3 linked regions of the Canis lupus familiaris genome follow. The protein of the gene in region 3 interacts with the protein of the main gene of each other region in a pairwise test. Links are inferred from orthologs where the notes say so. Each region holds a gene or a part of one and is shown on either strand. Other genes may lie near its edges. The genes, in order: PGAP2, FXYD6 and CREB3L1.

Region 1 (4,660 bases), on a different chromosome or scaffold from region 3:
ATTGGACAAATTAGAAAATGCTAGATAAAACCCTGAATATACCAGTAAATTCTTTAAATGCAATAGACTAAATGCTCTAGTTCAAAGTCAAATGTATTCACACAAGATTTATGAAAATCTAATTGTATGTTATTTATAAACATTATCCTTCCTTATCAAGTTGTAGGAAAAAGAGGAAGGAAATCAACCTTTACTAGGTACTTACTGTGTGTCAAACATGTGCCCAGTTCTTTGCAAATTCCCTTATTTGACCTTTACAAGACCTTACAACATGGGAATTTTTCTGCCCATTTTATAGATAAGGGAAGTGGGTCACAGAACAGTTAAATATTTGTGCGAGGTCTAAAAAGTAGCAAGACATACTTAGCTGTTTAACTCCAAATCTGACACTCTTTCCAATGTACCACTTAAGAAATCTAGACCATCACTCTGAAAGACAAAGTCTCTTGCTCTTCCCTGATTCTGTAGTCTTTATGAGTCCTGTCTCCTCCCTGAGGACCAATGTTTCAAAGCTGCATAGGGTGAGCTCTCACAGCATGTATGTGAGAGACTGGAGGGTTCCTAGCACAGAGCTGGACTTTCCTTTGTTTTGTCTCTCTTGGCCAGAGCAGAGTGTTGAGCTTTGGACATCTCTGGGATCCTGATGCCCAGGAGAGGGCTTGGTTCAGCAAACTTGTGAGCACGCACCAAATTCCTTTTCTTTAGAAGGGAAGAAGGAAGATGATGATAATCAAAAAGGCATTATGAGAATTAGGCAGAGTAAGAGTATATTGTCTACAAAGTCCTTTCTAGGGCAGAAGTACCCAGGAATGATGAACTTAATAACCATATGCCTACCACAGTAAGCATATGCAGAGAAGTCTTTCTGCATAGAAATCATCAGAAGGGATCCCTGGGTGGCGCAGCGGTTTGGCACCTGCCTTTGGCCCAGGGCGCGATCCTGGAGACCCGGGATCGAATCCCACATTGGGCTCCCGGTGCATGGAGCCTGCTTCTCCCTCTGACTATGTCTCTGCCTCTCTCTCTCTCTCTCTGTGACTATCATAAATAAAAAAAAAAAAAAAGAAAAAGAAATCATCAGAATTATAGAACTTTTACCTTGTGGCACCCCTCATCCAATGCCTCTCCCTCCAGTCTTCCTGCAACTATGCACTATTTAATGATCCTAGCTTCTGTATACACACTAGTACTTTGGACTGAATGTATTTACTTACAACATACTTTTGAGCCCCATTTCTGTGTCAGAATCAGTGTCTTAGAATATTTAGAATGGAAATTTCTTGATATTTTATTTATTTATTCATTTTGAGAGAGTGTACACACATGCACATGAGCGGGGGAGGGTCGAGGGGGGCAGAGGAAGAGAGAATCTCAAGCAGGTTCAATGCTCAGTGTGGAGCCCTACACAGGACTCAATCTCATGACACTGAGATCATGACTTGAGCTGAAATCAAGAGTCAGATGCTTACCTGGCTGAGTTACCCAAATGCCTCAGGAATTCCTTGACATTTTTAAAGAATAGGAATAATTATTTTACAGACAAGAAAACAGGTTCAGGTGTTAAGAAATTTGCCCAAATTCACACAGGTAATAAATGGTTGGACTCAGATTTAAACCCAGGGTTCCCTGACTTAAAAGTCTCACACTTCTAAAAAAAAAAAAAAAAAGTCTCACACTTCTACTACTATTCTGCTTAAGACAATAATTCACTCATTCATGCATGAAACATTTAATGTGGACCTACACTGTAGGCCTGGCCTTAGGGATACCAGAATAGTTGTGTTTCAGGACTGAAGGATGAGAAATCAAAGTTTCAGTAGGTCTTTGAGGAAGGTACAGTAAACTATCCAGGGAGAACTAATGACTTTCTAATGTAGAACACAGGCAAGGGAGGGTGGAGGAAAGGAAGGGATGTTTGGATGCAGGAGTGGGGGGAAAGTGGCTGGAGTCAGATGTTTAAACTAGCTTTCCTATTTGAACATCTATATATTTATTTTTTCCTTCCTTTGAACACCAACTGAGCACCTACCAGATGTCTCCTATCCATTATCTTATTTCATCTTTACAACCATTCCGCTTCCTAACAAATTAGCCAATTTTTTCTAATTCCTTGCTACCATTGAACACTAAGAGGGATTTAAATTCATCTACTTTTGTGCAGAGCCCATTTCAGTCTTGTATTGATGTTCCAGGAGAAGGTGGTGGTGGAGAGTAGTCTGAATAGGTTTTGCTTTCTGAGCACAGTCCCTGCTATTCTGTGTCAGGACTCTCAGTTACTGGGTCTGGTTTCTAGAACATGCTCAACATTTCCCCTTGTAATACTTCTGTTTTGGACTAGGCCAGGGTGGGGAAGGGAAACCTTTATGAATAAAATGCCGCTGTGACCTTAAAGAGCCTGGGCACAGAAGACAGAAAAGTAAATAATAGGATACAAAGTGACAAAGCTGTAACAGAGGCCTGCCCAACCAAGCAGTAGCCCAACACTCTGAGACAGATCTGGGAATGTATCCCAGAGAAGGCGGGAACATTTGAACCAGGCCTTTAAGAATAAATAAGAGCTCCTAAAGTGCAGGTGGTTAAGAAGTTCCAAGAATACTCATTTGTAACATATCCTACCCTGAGCCATTCCCTTAGGGCATGCTCATAGCGTCTATTCTGGGGATTCAGAGAGGAAAGGTTGTGACGGGGCCGGCATAGGTTGGGAAACCAGGAGGCCAGGTTTTGGGGCCTCAGAGCAGCTGCAGGCGAGCTATGCGGAGAGACAGACCTCCCAGGAGGGCCCTCCAGCTCCGCACGTGGTCTGGCCAGGAAGTACGGGCAGGACTACGGGGAAGCCTTCCCATCACCGCCCGCGGACTGGGGCAACGAAAGGGTAGAATAGTTACCATGCCATCCTGGAGCCTCCCCTCTGATTGGCCCGAGCTTCAGCAGCCTGACTGTCTCGGCTCCAACGCGGGGGGCGGAGCCTCGGCATAGCGTCACCACCCTTCTCCCGCACCCCGCCCAGTGCACACCAACGCAGCCACTCACAAGCCCGCCTCGCGGGGGCCTTGTGTGACGTCACGACTCGCCCCAGCCAATCGCGGCAGAGGGGGCGGGACTCCCTGTCCCTCCCACCGTCCCTCCCATTTCCCCCCCGTAACTCCTCCCGTTCCTCCTCTTCCCCCTCGCTCCTTCTCCCGAAGACCGCCCTCACGTTCGGTTTCAAAAGACCAGTTGCCCAATGAGTCGCAGGGCGGGCCTAGAGTGGCGGGGGCGTCTGCCAATGCGCAGGCAGCGAGGGCGGAGCGCCCGGGGCGAGCCTGTGACGGTAGGCGGCGTGTGACGCAGTCGGGCCCTCTGCGCGCTGCGCCCGAAGCGGCGGTCGGTGGCGGCGGTGGTATCGGCGGCGACGGTTTCGTGGCGGCCGCGCGCTGCTCCCCGAGCGGCGGGTGGCGGACGGGCCTAGGCCTTCACTCCTGACACTTCCCTTCCCCCACCGCACCGCGGTAAGTGGAGAGCCCGGGCGGTGGCGGCCCCGGACCGACAGGCTCCTCCTCCCCTCTGGGCGGGCGGGTGCGCGGGGCGTCCCAGGCCCTCCGCGCCGAAGTCTCGCGCCCGGGCGCGCACCTTCTGCCCCGAGGGAGGGGGCGGGGCCCGCGACCCCGCGGCCCCGCGGCCCCGCGGCCCCGCGGCCCCGAGGCCCCGAGGCCCGGCTCTGCGGGCGCTGGGAGGGGACCGAGGTCCGGGGAGCCAGGGCCCCGGGGTCTCCCGTGGCAGCCTGCGCTCGGGGAGCGTCCATGTATCTGGTGGTACTCATTCATTTGCCTGGCGGTGATTAGGTGGGCGGGCCCTTTGCGGGGGCCGCGTCTTAGGACCCTGAATAGGATCTCCCCAGCGCTTGCTTGGTTGACGGTCGTTCGGGACGGGCTTTAATTTGCCTTGACGTCTCCACGGGGGAGATGTGCAGCCCGGCGTTTCGGATGGGTGGGTCGGGAGTTTGTTAAGCTTTTTAACACAAGATCTGAGAATTAAGATCGATCTAGTGGAGTAAAAGGTTATTTTCTGCCCTCCCACGTGTTTCGTGTAAAGCTAGAGGAGGAGAAAGGTGGGATTTCTGGATTACTGTAGCTTTGGGGAACCTTAGAAATTAAGCCAATCCCCCTATCGTACATCACGTGCGAGTTTTATAGGTGGAGGAACTGAGGTCCAAAGAAGGGACAGGATTAGGATTAGCCTGTACCAGATCCGCCTCAGTCTAGAAATTTTTCTACTGTATCACTCTCCCTGGGTGTTCCATCCTCCTATTATTGAAGGTTCAATTTGGAACCTTTGGGGGGAGGGGGGTGGGGGCTTCGGTATTTAGAAGCAGCCTTCAACAGCGTTTCTGCGTGGTTACCAGTTCTGTTCGTGTTAAGGCAGAAACTTCATCTGCGGGACCCTAACCTAAACCATGAGAATTAAAAAGTTGGGTAAGGAATGTCGGTGATGTAAATGTATTGGAAACAAATGGATAAGACTCCCATGTCTGGCTAATTTCCTATTCCAAATCTGAAATTATTTGTGTCAGCTGCTGGGGACTCAGGAGACAGAATCCACTTAGTGACTCATAAGAGTTTTGGAATAGAAAGCAGAAAATACAGACAAGACTTAGATAGGCAGCGGTAATTTTGTAGTTCTT
Region 2 (4,675 bases), on a different chromosome or scaffold from region 3:
GTGCTCAGTGGGGTCTCCTGGAGATTCTCCCTCTGCCTCTGCCCCTCCTCCCGCTCACATGCATTCTTTTTCTCAAATAAATAAATAAATCTTTTTTAAAAATGCCTTTGAAGAACAAGCCAATGATGACAAATGTATGGGTACTTGTTGTCCAGGATACTGATCACCTGTGGGAGTGAGGCAGAGGGAGGGGGGATGGGTTGGAAGAAAGTACAGGTAAATGCAGCAGGTGTTTGTAAAGGTCTAGTTCTTAAATTACCGGTGTTCGTCTTACTGAGCTTCATTATACGCGTGTGCTACATGCACTTTTATAGATACAGAACATGTAAAATTGAAAAGAATTGCAAATCTTAGATGAATGGCATTAGAAGCAAATTACTGCCTTTTGGTAAACACTTCCTGGGAGGCTTTCTCTCATGGGCCCCGCGGAGCTGGATGCAGTTGTTCTGACCTCTGGTGGCTGAGAGGTGAAGGGCAGCTGGGGCTGCTTGCTTGCGGCCTGAGAGGCAATGGGGGTGATCCCTCGGAGCCAGCATGGTCCTGGCCACTCGATACCAGTCCAGGGTGCAGGCCACTGCCAGGCTCACCCCCATAAAGGGTGGACAGCCTTGTGCTTTTCTAGTTTGGGCTTTTCTCCCCACTTTTCCTTGCTGGCTCATCACCACACTTGTGTAAGCCCAGGAGTAAGGTGTGTGTCATGGCACTGAACTCTGTCCCTGGAAGGGACCAGCTGGCCACCTTCCACCTCTGTCCAGAGGACCCATCCTGGGGACCCTGGCCCCAAAGACAGGGGCTTGATGAGCTCACGAGGGCATCAAAGCACCTTTGTTTGACCAAACCGCCTTCCTGGAGGAGTATTAACTCCATGAAACCTGTGGGAAGCATCGACTCGGGCACTTTAGAAGTGAGGGTGTCGGGCATCTCGGGGTTTACCACATGGAGACCAGTGAACAGCAAGCCTCCCCAGCCCCGTGTGGCTGGCTGGGCTAGAGAGGCATTCACTTACCTGCCCCATTCAGTCTCATCAAACGTGGGGAACCTGGCCGGGAAGTCCCAAACCTCTTAGTGACCTGGAGGTGGCCTCAAGAGGAGGGCGCAGCAGAGGGTCATTACCAAAGCCCTGGGGGCTTTCTGGCTTGGGCATGGGAGAGGCAGCGTGGGCTCTCAAGGAGGGCTCCCCAAGGCTCTGCTGCTCACTGTCCTGCGTGTCCAGCTCAGGCAGGCTCTTCCCCTACAGGATGGGTCAGTCCCTGCGCCTACCGATTGCATTGATTCTGTTGTAGGAATTGAATTAATGCAGGCAGAGCTCTCCTTAAGAGTTGGGCAAACGGCAGCTGCTTCTGCTCTATCACTTTCACGGTGTTGAGGGTGCTCAACGTAGACCTGGGAACCCCACTCAGAGCCCCCTAATCAGGCTGAGGGTTGGGGTGGGGAGTCCCCCATGCAGAGAATGACTTCTCCTCCTCCTCCGTCCGCAGACACCATGGAGGTGGCACTGATCTTTCTGTGCAGCATGCTGGCTCCCACCGTCCTGGCCAGTGGTAAGTCCCCCTCCAGGTCCCGACCCTGTGAGACTATAGGGCCGGGCAAGGGGGCTCTCAAAGTCTACATGTCTGATCAGTGACGGCCCGTCCCCGCTTTAGTCAGCAGAGAAGGTGCTGGAAGGCAGCAGGTGTTCTCCGAGCCGCCTCCAGCCTGCCCACCCCTCCCCACAGAGCCCAGCAGGCTTTACCGTCAGTCCTCAAGCCTTCCAGGTCTCTGTAGACTGTCGGTCTGAACCTCAGGAGCCCACTCTAGAACCTGACCTTGGTCTCTGTTTCCCTGGCTGTTAACAAGAGGGTAACAGCCCCTGCCTCGCAAAGGATGTGGATGTGCTGTGGAGGCAGACTCACACTGGGGTTCTGAGCCGAACCCCCCTCGACTCTCAGGCTGGCCCACCCTTCTCTGCCTCCCCAGGCACCTGTATGGTGCTTCCCAGGAGTCCCTTTGTGAGAAATGAGGCCTGGGGGGCTTGGGTGGTATTCGGGAACCAGAGGTATAAGTGTCTTTCTCTTGCCCACACTTGTTTCTTTTTTTCAGCAGCTGAGCAGGAGAATGAGAAGGACCCTTTCCATTATGGTGAGCTTGATGGGAACCCTGGGTGGGGAAGGGGAGGTATAGCCCCACCCGGGGGAGGGCAAGCCATGCTCTTCCCCACCTTCCTCTCATTCCATGTCTCACTCTTGCTCCTTTGATAGACTATCAGACGCTGAGGATTGGGGGCCTGGTGTTTGCCGTGGTGCTCTTCTCGGTGGGGATTCTCCTTATCCTGAGTAAGTTCGTTCCCTGTTTGCTCTGGAAGGGTGTTGTCTGAGGCTGCTAAGCAGGTAGAGAATGGTGTCAGAGCCAGGCCACACCCTCACCTGGACAGAGAAGAGGCTGTCCATCCTCCCTGGTATCTCTAGGACCTAATATACAGCCTGGGGCACATAGTAAGTGCTCAGTAAAACAGTGAAGAATGAGCAAAATAAATGCTTGATGAAAACAAACGGAATAGGAAGGGGCAGGGTGGCTCTCCTGGGGCTTGTGTCCAGGAGGCATAGGTGGGGCAGGGTCCACAGGAGTTAGAGGCTGTCCCCAGAGTGCTCCGGAGGATGTGCCCTGCATTTGTTTTTCCCACATGAGCCTGGGCTGCATGGAGCCCTGTGCACTTGCCTGATTGAGTCGACTCAATCAGTGGCAGGGTAGTCAATTGAAGCCACTGAATCGTTGAACCTTGACCTCAGAAGAACCCTACTCCAAGGATTGCTGCACGTTGCTGTGTTTTTTATGTAGTCCTATGTGGCAGCCCTGCTCTGGTCAAGCCAGGAGCGTGACCTTGGGCTCAAGCCGGGAGCATGACCTTGGGCTCAAGCCGGGAGCATGACCTTGGGCTCAAGAAGCATGACCTTGGGCTCACAGCGGGAGCATGGCCTTAAGCTCGAGCTGGGAGCATGACCTTGGGTGGTTTCTTTGCTTTTTAGGTCGCAGATGCAAGTGCAGTTTCAATCAGAAGCCCCGGTAAGGATGCCGTGTCTGTGGACATCTGGGGTGAAACTAGGAAGGGACAGGGAGGGCCCCCTGGTGTGTGAGCCCAAATGAGCGTTCTTTTGACTTCTTAGAAAGAGGCCTTGTGTGTGTGTGTGTGTGTGTGTGTGTGTGTGTGTGGAGAGCAGAGGAGAAGCTTTGAGCACTGCCAGGCATGTTCTGGGGCAAAGTAAATCTCAAACTGTTGAGGCGAGCCCCTCCTCTCTTCTGATGTATATTAGGGAGGGGAGGTAGGCAAGAAGGTGCTGGATGCTCGTCTGGAGGCCCTGGAGACAGTTGGGCTTGGGAGGAGGGATGCAGAGGGCCTCAGAGCCTCTCAGGAGGTCTACATCCTTTCTATAGGACCTGTGTCACTGCCCCTGCTTGTTACCTGCTCATGGGGCTCTTCGGCTGAGTAGAAGCTTGGGCTCCCTGTCATTCATCCCCTCCCTTAAAGAATGTACCCCATTAGTCCACTACAAAAACCAGGGGTAGCACTAGGACCTCCGAAGTCCAAAGTCTGGCAGGACACAACCCAAGCCCTGAGGCGGCCTTTGGCCACTCCTTCCCAGCACTTAGTTGTCTCCAGAGCCAACACTGAAGGTTCCTGTGAGTTCCCGACACCGCATCCTTCAACCCCAGCTTCTACCCCCTGCCCCACGCACCCCCAGGTGGAGAGTGCACCCGCCCTCCAGTGACTCAGTGGGGACCCATGCAGACTGTCGCGTGGCAGCAAGGAGACTGGGCTTGCTGTGCAGACCTCTGACGGAAGGGCTGTGTCTCTTGTTCTTGCAGGGCTCCAGGGGATGAGGAGGCCCAGGTGGAGAACCTCATCACTGCAAATGGTAATGTGACCACCAGCCCCGGGGGATAGAAGTCACTGCGGAGGGTCCTCGGACATCTCAGGGAAGGGTGGTCATCGGGCACCACGGTCTCCCTAGGGCTAAGCAGACGTGCTCCCGTGTCTGTGCCGTAAAAGGGGCCTCCAGGGCCTCTGCTCTGCGTGGCTCCCTCACCTCCCCCAGACAGGCTTCCTTCTCCCTACTGACAGCCACTGTTCAGAGGGCATCCGCTTTGTGTTGGGCACGGTACCAGGGGCCTTCATGTGATTAGACCTCACTGTCAGCATTTTATCACCAAGGGACTCAGAAAAGCTAAGGAATGTACCAGACTCTTAGAATCAGCAAGTAGCAGGGTGAGGATTTGCACCTGGGTCTGTCTGACTCAGAATCCTGCCAAGTTGCCTCTTGGCTGTATGGTCCAGACTCTCCCCTGGTGTCGGGCACGGGCACAGCTGCCTGCAGGAGGGTGGCCTGCTGGGGTGAGGGGCCCATTCACTGCAACCCATTCAATTTTTTTTTCTAGCAACGGAGCCCCAGAAAGCAGAGAACTGAAGTGTAGCCCTCGGGTAGGAAGGTAAGATTCTGTCTCTGTGTCTTTTTCTGGTCCCATCACTGTTCATTCCCCAGAGAAGAAGTATGGGGCCAGCTGGTGCGGCGGGCACCGCTTTTATTATGAGCCACGCTCTGAGAGCAGTAAGACAGGTGGAAACATCTGAGATGCACCACACATGCGCAGTAAACAGTTGGAAAATCAGGCTTCTGCACAACCCAGTGGTCAAGTGCATGGG
Region 3 (4,728 bases):
CAGACCCACCAAGGATCACCTCCCTTTTGATTAACTCAAAATCAATTGATTTGGGACCTTAATGACATCTGCTAAGTCTCTTTTGCAATAAAAGGTCACCTAGTTATGGGAGTGACATCCCCTTATATTTACAAGTCCTCTGCATACCCTAGTGGGGGGGGGATTAAATAGATGTGTGTGGTGGAGGCAATGGGGGGAGCCTGGGGGGCAGGAAGCTTGGATGCCTACCACACACAGCTAGTAAGTGGCAGTCCCAGCAGTCGAGCACAGCTCTTCCTGCCGTGAAGTCTGTACTTTTGACCCAGCTGAGGCCGAGGATACAAGAGCTGAAATGCGGTGGGTCTCAGGAGGACCAAGCTGGGTACTGCCCGGAAGGTGTCTGGCCCAGGGTCTGGTCCATAGCAGGTGCTTGATGCTTGCAGGTGGCATCCCCAAAGGCCAAGACTGGCTGCCAGGCCTCTCTACCTCCATAGGCAGCGCAGGAGGAGGGGCCGCGGGGTGGGGACATTACAGCAGAATCCTTTGTCTAGTTTGAATCCTGCGCCCAGAGGGAAGAGGGAGCCTGGGAGAAATGCCTTTCACCCCTGCCCTCTCCAATGAACCCCTGGCAGGACATAAAATCAACTTCCCCTTTTCACTGCCTATCCCCAGGTCCTGGTCACCCCCCTCCATGAAGAAAGGCACAAAGTCAGGAATTGATGCTGCATCTTTTTTTTTTTTTTTTACTTTTGCCTTCTTAAAGCATGTGCTGAGCTGATGGATGAAGCAGTCTGGCAATTAAAAAGGCCTGGCGGCTTGGGCGGCGGCAGGGGGAGGCCAGATGAGGGCCCGGGAACAGCAAAGCCCGCACTAACTTTATAAAATATAAAACAAGGGAGGGGTGAAGGGAGGATGGAGACTTGTAAAATACAATATCTTAGGGGATTGGCAATAATAAAAAATAAGGTTCATTATTTACAAACAATTTCTGTTCTTGGTCTCTGTACAGTGGGGCGGGGGTGGGGGGGTGTGTCGGTATGTTGGTGGGTGTGTTTGCGGGGAGGGGGCGGGCAGGCAGTGGTCGTGTTGGTCATGATGAGAAAGGAGGGGGTTAGCCCAGTGAGTGGTTTATCTGAGAAGGACGGATGACTGTGGGAGGGAGGGGTGAGAACAGAGTGGTCGGCCCAAGGGAACAGTCCAAATGTGGTGGGGAAAGGAGGGGCCCTGGTAAAGATTGGGGCAAAGATAGGGCTGGGGAGAAGTGGAACCCTTTCTCCTGGGGTGGGAGCCCAGGGGACAGGGGTACAAGCTGGATCCGGGTTAGAGAGCAAGACAATCCCTCTTCTGGGTGCCAGAGGGTAGGTCCTGTGTCCTGGGTCTTGGCGCGGCCTAGGAGAGTTTGATGGTGGTATTGGGGCCCAGATCCCTGGAAAGAGAACAGAAGTCTGGGGTGAGTCTGTCCAGTGAGGAGCTTCTCACCTCTCTGCATGCTGGAGCAGAATGTGGGTGGAGCCTGGGACCCTGGGATGGCAAAGGGCCAACCACTTACCTCTCACGGAACCACTCCTTGGGGTGAGAGAAGTCGGGGCTGGTGCCGTTTCCACCGATGTCTTTTGGCCAGGCCTCACTCAGGTACTTGGTGGTCTCGTGGGTGCTGTCCAGGTGGTCATGCTGCAGGTGGTCCTGGGGCCGCTGCTCCGCCGGCCCCCCGGGGTTGATTTCCCAGCCATCTGGGGGCTCCACAGGCAGCAGGGCACCGCGGCCATCCTCCCACGAGCCTGCCCCCTCGTCATAGAACAGGAGGCTCCGGGAGGGCACTGGACAGAGAACTCATGGTGAGCTTCAGTGCAGAGGCTCCCTGCTCCCAGCCACATTCCCAGCCCAACAGTGAGGGATGAGGGCCCTGCAACTTTACAGGCCTGAGTTTGTTGAGCCCCAGTTCTAACATTTCCAATTGGTATGACCTCAGGTGAGTCAGGCCTTTGCTTTAACCTTTCTGAGCCTTAGTTTGCTCATCTGTAAAATAGGGATACTAGGGCCAACCTCATAGAAATGTGGTTTAATGAGACAATCTGGGGAAAGTGATTGAAAATTGTTTAGGGAAGAACTTGGAGAAAGTAGTTCTTCCTAAGCACTGGGTACCAGGGTGGGCATCTGAGAGTTGGGTTCTGATCCTGCTTCTACTAACTCACTTTCTGTGAGAACTTGAATCAATCTCTTCCCTTTTATTTTTAAATTTTTTTGGTGAAGATTTTATTTCTTTGAAAGAGAGAGCACAAGGGGGGGGGGTGGAGAAGCAGATTTCCCGGTGAGCAAGGAGTCTTGGGGGAGTAAAGGGGGGGTGGGAGGGAACAGCTAGGCAGAGGCTTAACCCCCCTGAGCCACCCAGGCACCCCCTTTCCCATTCTTTTTTTTTTTTTTAAGATTTTATTTATTTATTCATGAGAGACACAGAAAGATAGGGAGGCAAAGACATAGGCAGAGGGAGAAGCAGGCTCCATGTGGGGAGCCCAATGTGGGACTCTATCTCAGAACTCCAGAATCACGCCCTGAGCCGAAGGCAGACGCTTAACCACTGAGCCACCCAGGAGTTTGCCCACCCCCTTTCCCATTCTAGGCCCTAGTGTGTCCTTCTGGAAAATGAAGGAAAAGAAAACACATCTGTTGGATATCTCCTTTGTGCGTGGCATTGTGCAAAGCCCTTTGACCTGCATATCAAATCACTCATATCTCACTGAAAGTCCTGGGAAGGAGATATTTTTAGCTCTGTTTTATAGAACAGGTAACTGAGTTTCCAGCTTATCAGATACTTGGGCTTACGCTGGAAGCCAGAGGCAAACCCAGGTCCGTCTGGCTCCAGGATCTACCACCACCTTCCTGCCCTCAGGCCATGACCTAAGAGTCTGTGTAAAGGGCACTCCCTGCAACTGAGCAATGTACCTGCTCTGAAAGCCAGCCAGCTCTAGAAGCCAAGTCCTACCACAGGTGCACACTGGGAGTCTGCAACCCACTGCACTCACTCCAAGGAGCTCATTCATCCCCTCACTTCCTCAGACTCTGGCTTCATCCATCAACATGGCCTCCACCTTCCACATCCCTCTCTTCCTCCAAATTCACCGGAAGAGGGCCTCTCTGGCTTTGGAGAATGAATTCATGACTCTCAAGGCCTCACACCCCCTGCACCCCACCTCCCTCAGCAACTGTCCTGAAGAAGAGTCTCTGGCCACACATGTCCTGGGAGTGGCTTTCAGTCAACCACTCAACGCCTCCACTTCCTTTTCCTCTAACCCTCCCCACCCCTTCCACCTCTGAAGGCCCTGCTGGTCTAGCTCATTCTCCCTGCCTATCCCTCCTGAGTCCTATTCCTGCTGTCTCCTCCCTCTTTGACCTCCCATCCGTTTCCTTTTCCTCCTCCTGCCCTGCCAGACAATTCCTTCCCAGGGAGGAAGTTCCTCTGTAGGTCTACCTGAAGTCCCTTCTGCCTCTGGAAATCCATACTATTCTTTGCCGCACCCTCTACCAGTTCTCTCCTTGCCGCCCACATATTGTCTCTCTCTTCTCTCCTCTTGTGAGGTCTTCAAAAAGGGAGGGAATGTGCTCCTTTAGTAAGCGCCTGCTGTGTACTGAACCCTGTGCTAAGAGTGTATGTGCATCATGCCATTTAGTTGTGATGACAACCACGCTCAGTGAGTGCAGAACTGTAACTCCTGTTTTTTGGATGAAGACATTTAAAGCATAGGGAGCTCAAGACATGTGCCCAAGGTCCCGCAGTCAGCAAGTGGTGATGGCAGGCATGACCAACTCTGAGGCCCAATGCTCTTTAAGCACCGTACCTCACAGTCACCCAGGGGATGGTAAAGGTCTGAGCCTGCAACCACAACTGCCCCTCCTCTGCACACGCCTGACACTACCAGTGGATCCTGGCTCTCCTTACACGGTGCTTCGGACAGTCACCACCAGCTTATTGGGTAGGGCGCTGGAACCTCAACTCATTTGTTGTCCCAGGTGTGAAATACTAATCGTTTCTAGCAGATGCCCATAACCACAGCTACTGTAATTCCTGGGGGTGGGGCGGTGGGAAAGGGCAGGGTGGGAACATTCCCACTATCCCCTAAACCACCCCCACCCCCGCAGGCCACTCTTGGGTGGGCTGGGATCGGGAAGCCTGCATTGTGGTCCCAATTCCACAATGAACATTGAATAAATCACAGACCCTTTAGGGCCTGTTTCTCCATTTGCAAAATGAAGAGGTCGAATGAGATGTTGCCAACCTGGAAGCCGGCCTCCTCTCTTTTATCTGGCTTTTGCCCCGAAGTTGAGACTGAGGGAAGGTAGCCTGGCTCAGGAGGCACTCACTCTGACTGGCTGTGTAGACGCTGTCAGTGGCCATGGGGTCTTCCTTCACAGTCTGGGAGCTGGAGGAGAACTCAGGGAGGCAGGGCACAAGTGAGCCCAGCACCAGAACGAAGCACAAGGCTGCCACCTGGTAGTAGAGGGGGTGGGGGTCAGAGCAGATGTGGGGGGTGTGCAACCCTGGCCATCCCCAATCCTTCTCCCCCAAAATCAATAGGTATAAAAGGCCCATATTTTTCCAAGAAAGTAGCACCCAGAGCCAACCACCTCCTAGATGTGGGGTCTTCCACCCTTTAGGGAGAAGGTGGAGGAGGCTGCTCAGGCCATCTCAGCCCATCGTAGGGTGGGGGGCCACCACAGTCAGCATTAGAAAAGGAGGGAAGTGGTAACACAGTT

What was found.
Region 1: the proteins of CREB3L1 (region 3) and PGAP2 interact in binary tests that used the Homo sapiens proteins (3 or more experiments, as listed by UniProt). The two-hybrid records come from large-scale screens. The link is inferred for Canis lupus familiaris from reciprocal best matches to the Homo sapiens genes CREB3L1 and PGAP2.
Region 2: the proteins of CREB3L1 (region 3) and FXYD6 interact in binary tests that used the Homo sapiens proteins (3 or more experiments, as listed by UniProt). The two-hybrid records come from large-scale screens. The link is inferred for Canis lupus familiaris from reciprocal best matches to the Homo sapiens genes CREB3L1 and FXYD6.

The regions. Positions count from the first base shown.
Region 1 is NC_049242.1:26,466,670-26,471,329, reverse strand, and holds the start of PGAP2 (post-GPI attachment to proteins factor 2), read right to left. Parts: upstream 2,982-4,660; 5' UTR 2,975-2,981; coding exon 2,886-2,974; intron 700-2,885; exon of another isoform or gene 583-699; intron 574-582; exon of another isoform or gene 364-573; intron 1-363.
Region 2 is NC_049226.1:15,824,597-15,829,271, forward strand, and holds the start of FXYD6 (FXYD domain-containing ion transport regulator 6 precursor), read left to right. Parts: upstream 1-1,474; 5' UTR 1,475-1,483; coding exon 1,484-1,541; intron 1,542-2,082; coding exon 2,083-2,118; intron 2,119-2,237; coding exon 2,238-2,312; intron 2,313-3,002; coding exon 3,003-3,039; intron 3,040-3,840; coding exon 3,841-3,890; intron 3,891-4,410; coding exon 4,411-4,439; 3' UTR 4,440-4,461; intron 4,462-4,675. UniProt on the Homo sapiens protein: Associates with and regulates the activity of the sodium/potassium-transporting ATPase (NKA) which catalyzes the hydrolysis of ATP coupled with the exchange of Na(+) and K(+) ions across the plasma membrane.
Region 3 is NC_049239.1:43,563,843-43,568,570, forward strand, and holds the end of CREB3L1 (cyclic AMP-responsive element-binding protein 3-like protein 1), read right to left. Parts: intron 4,463-4,728; coding exon 4,336-4,462; intron 1,797-4,335; coding exon 1,529-1,796; intron 1,406-1,528; coding exon 1,369-1,405; 3' UTR 696-1,368; downstream 1-695.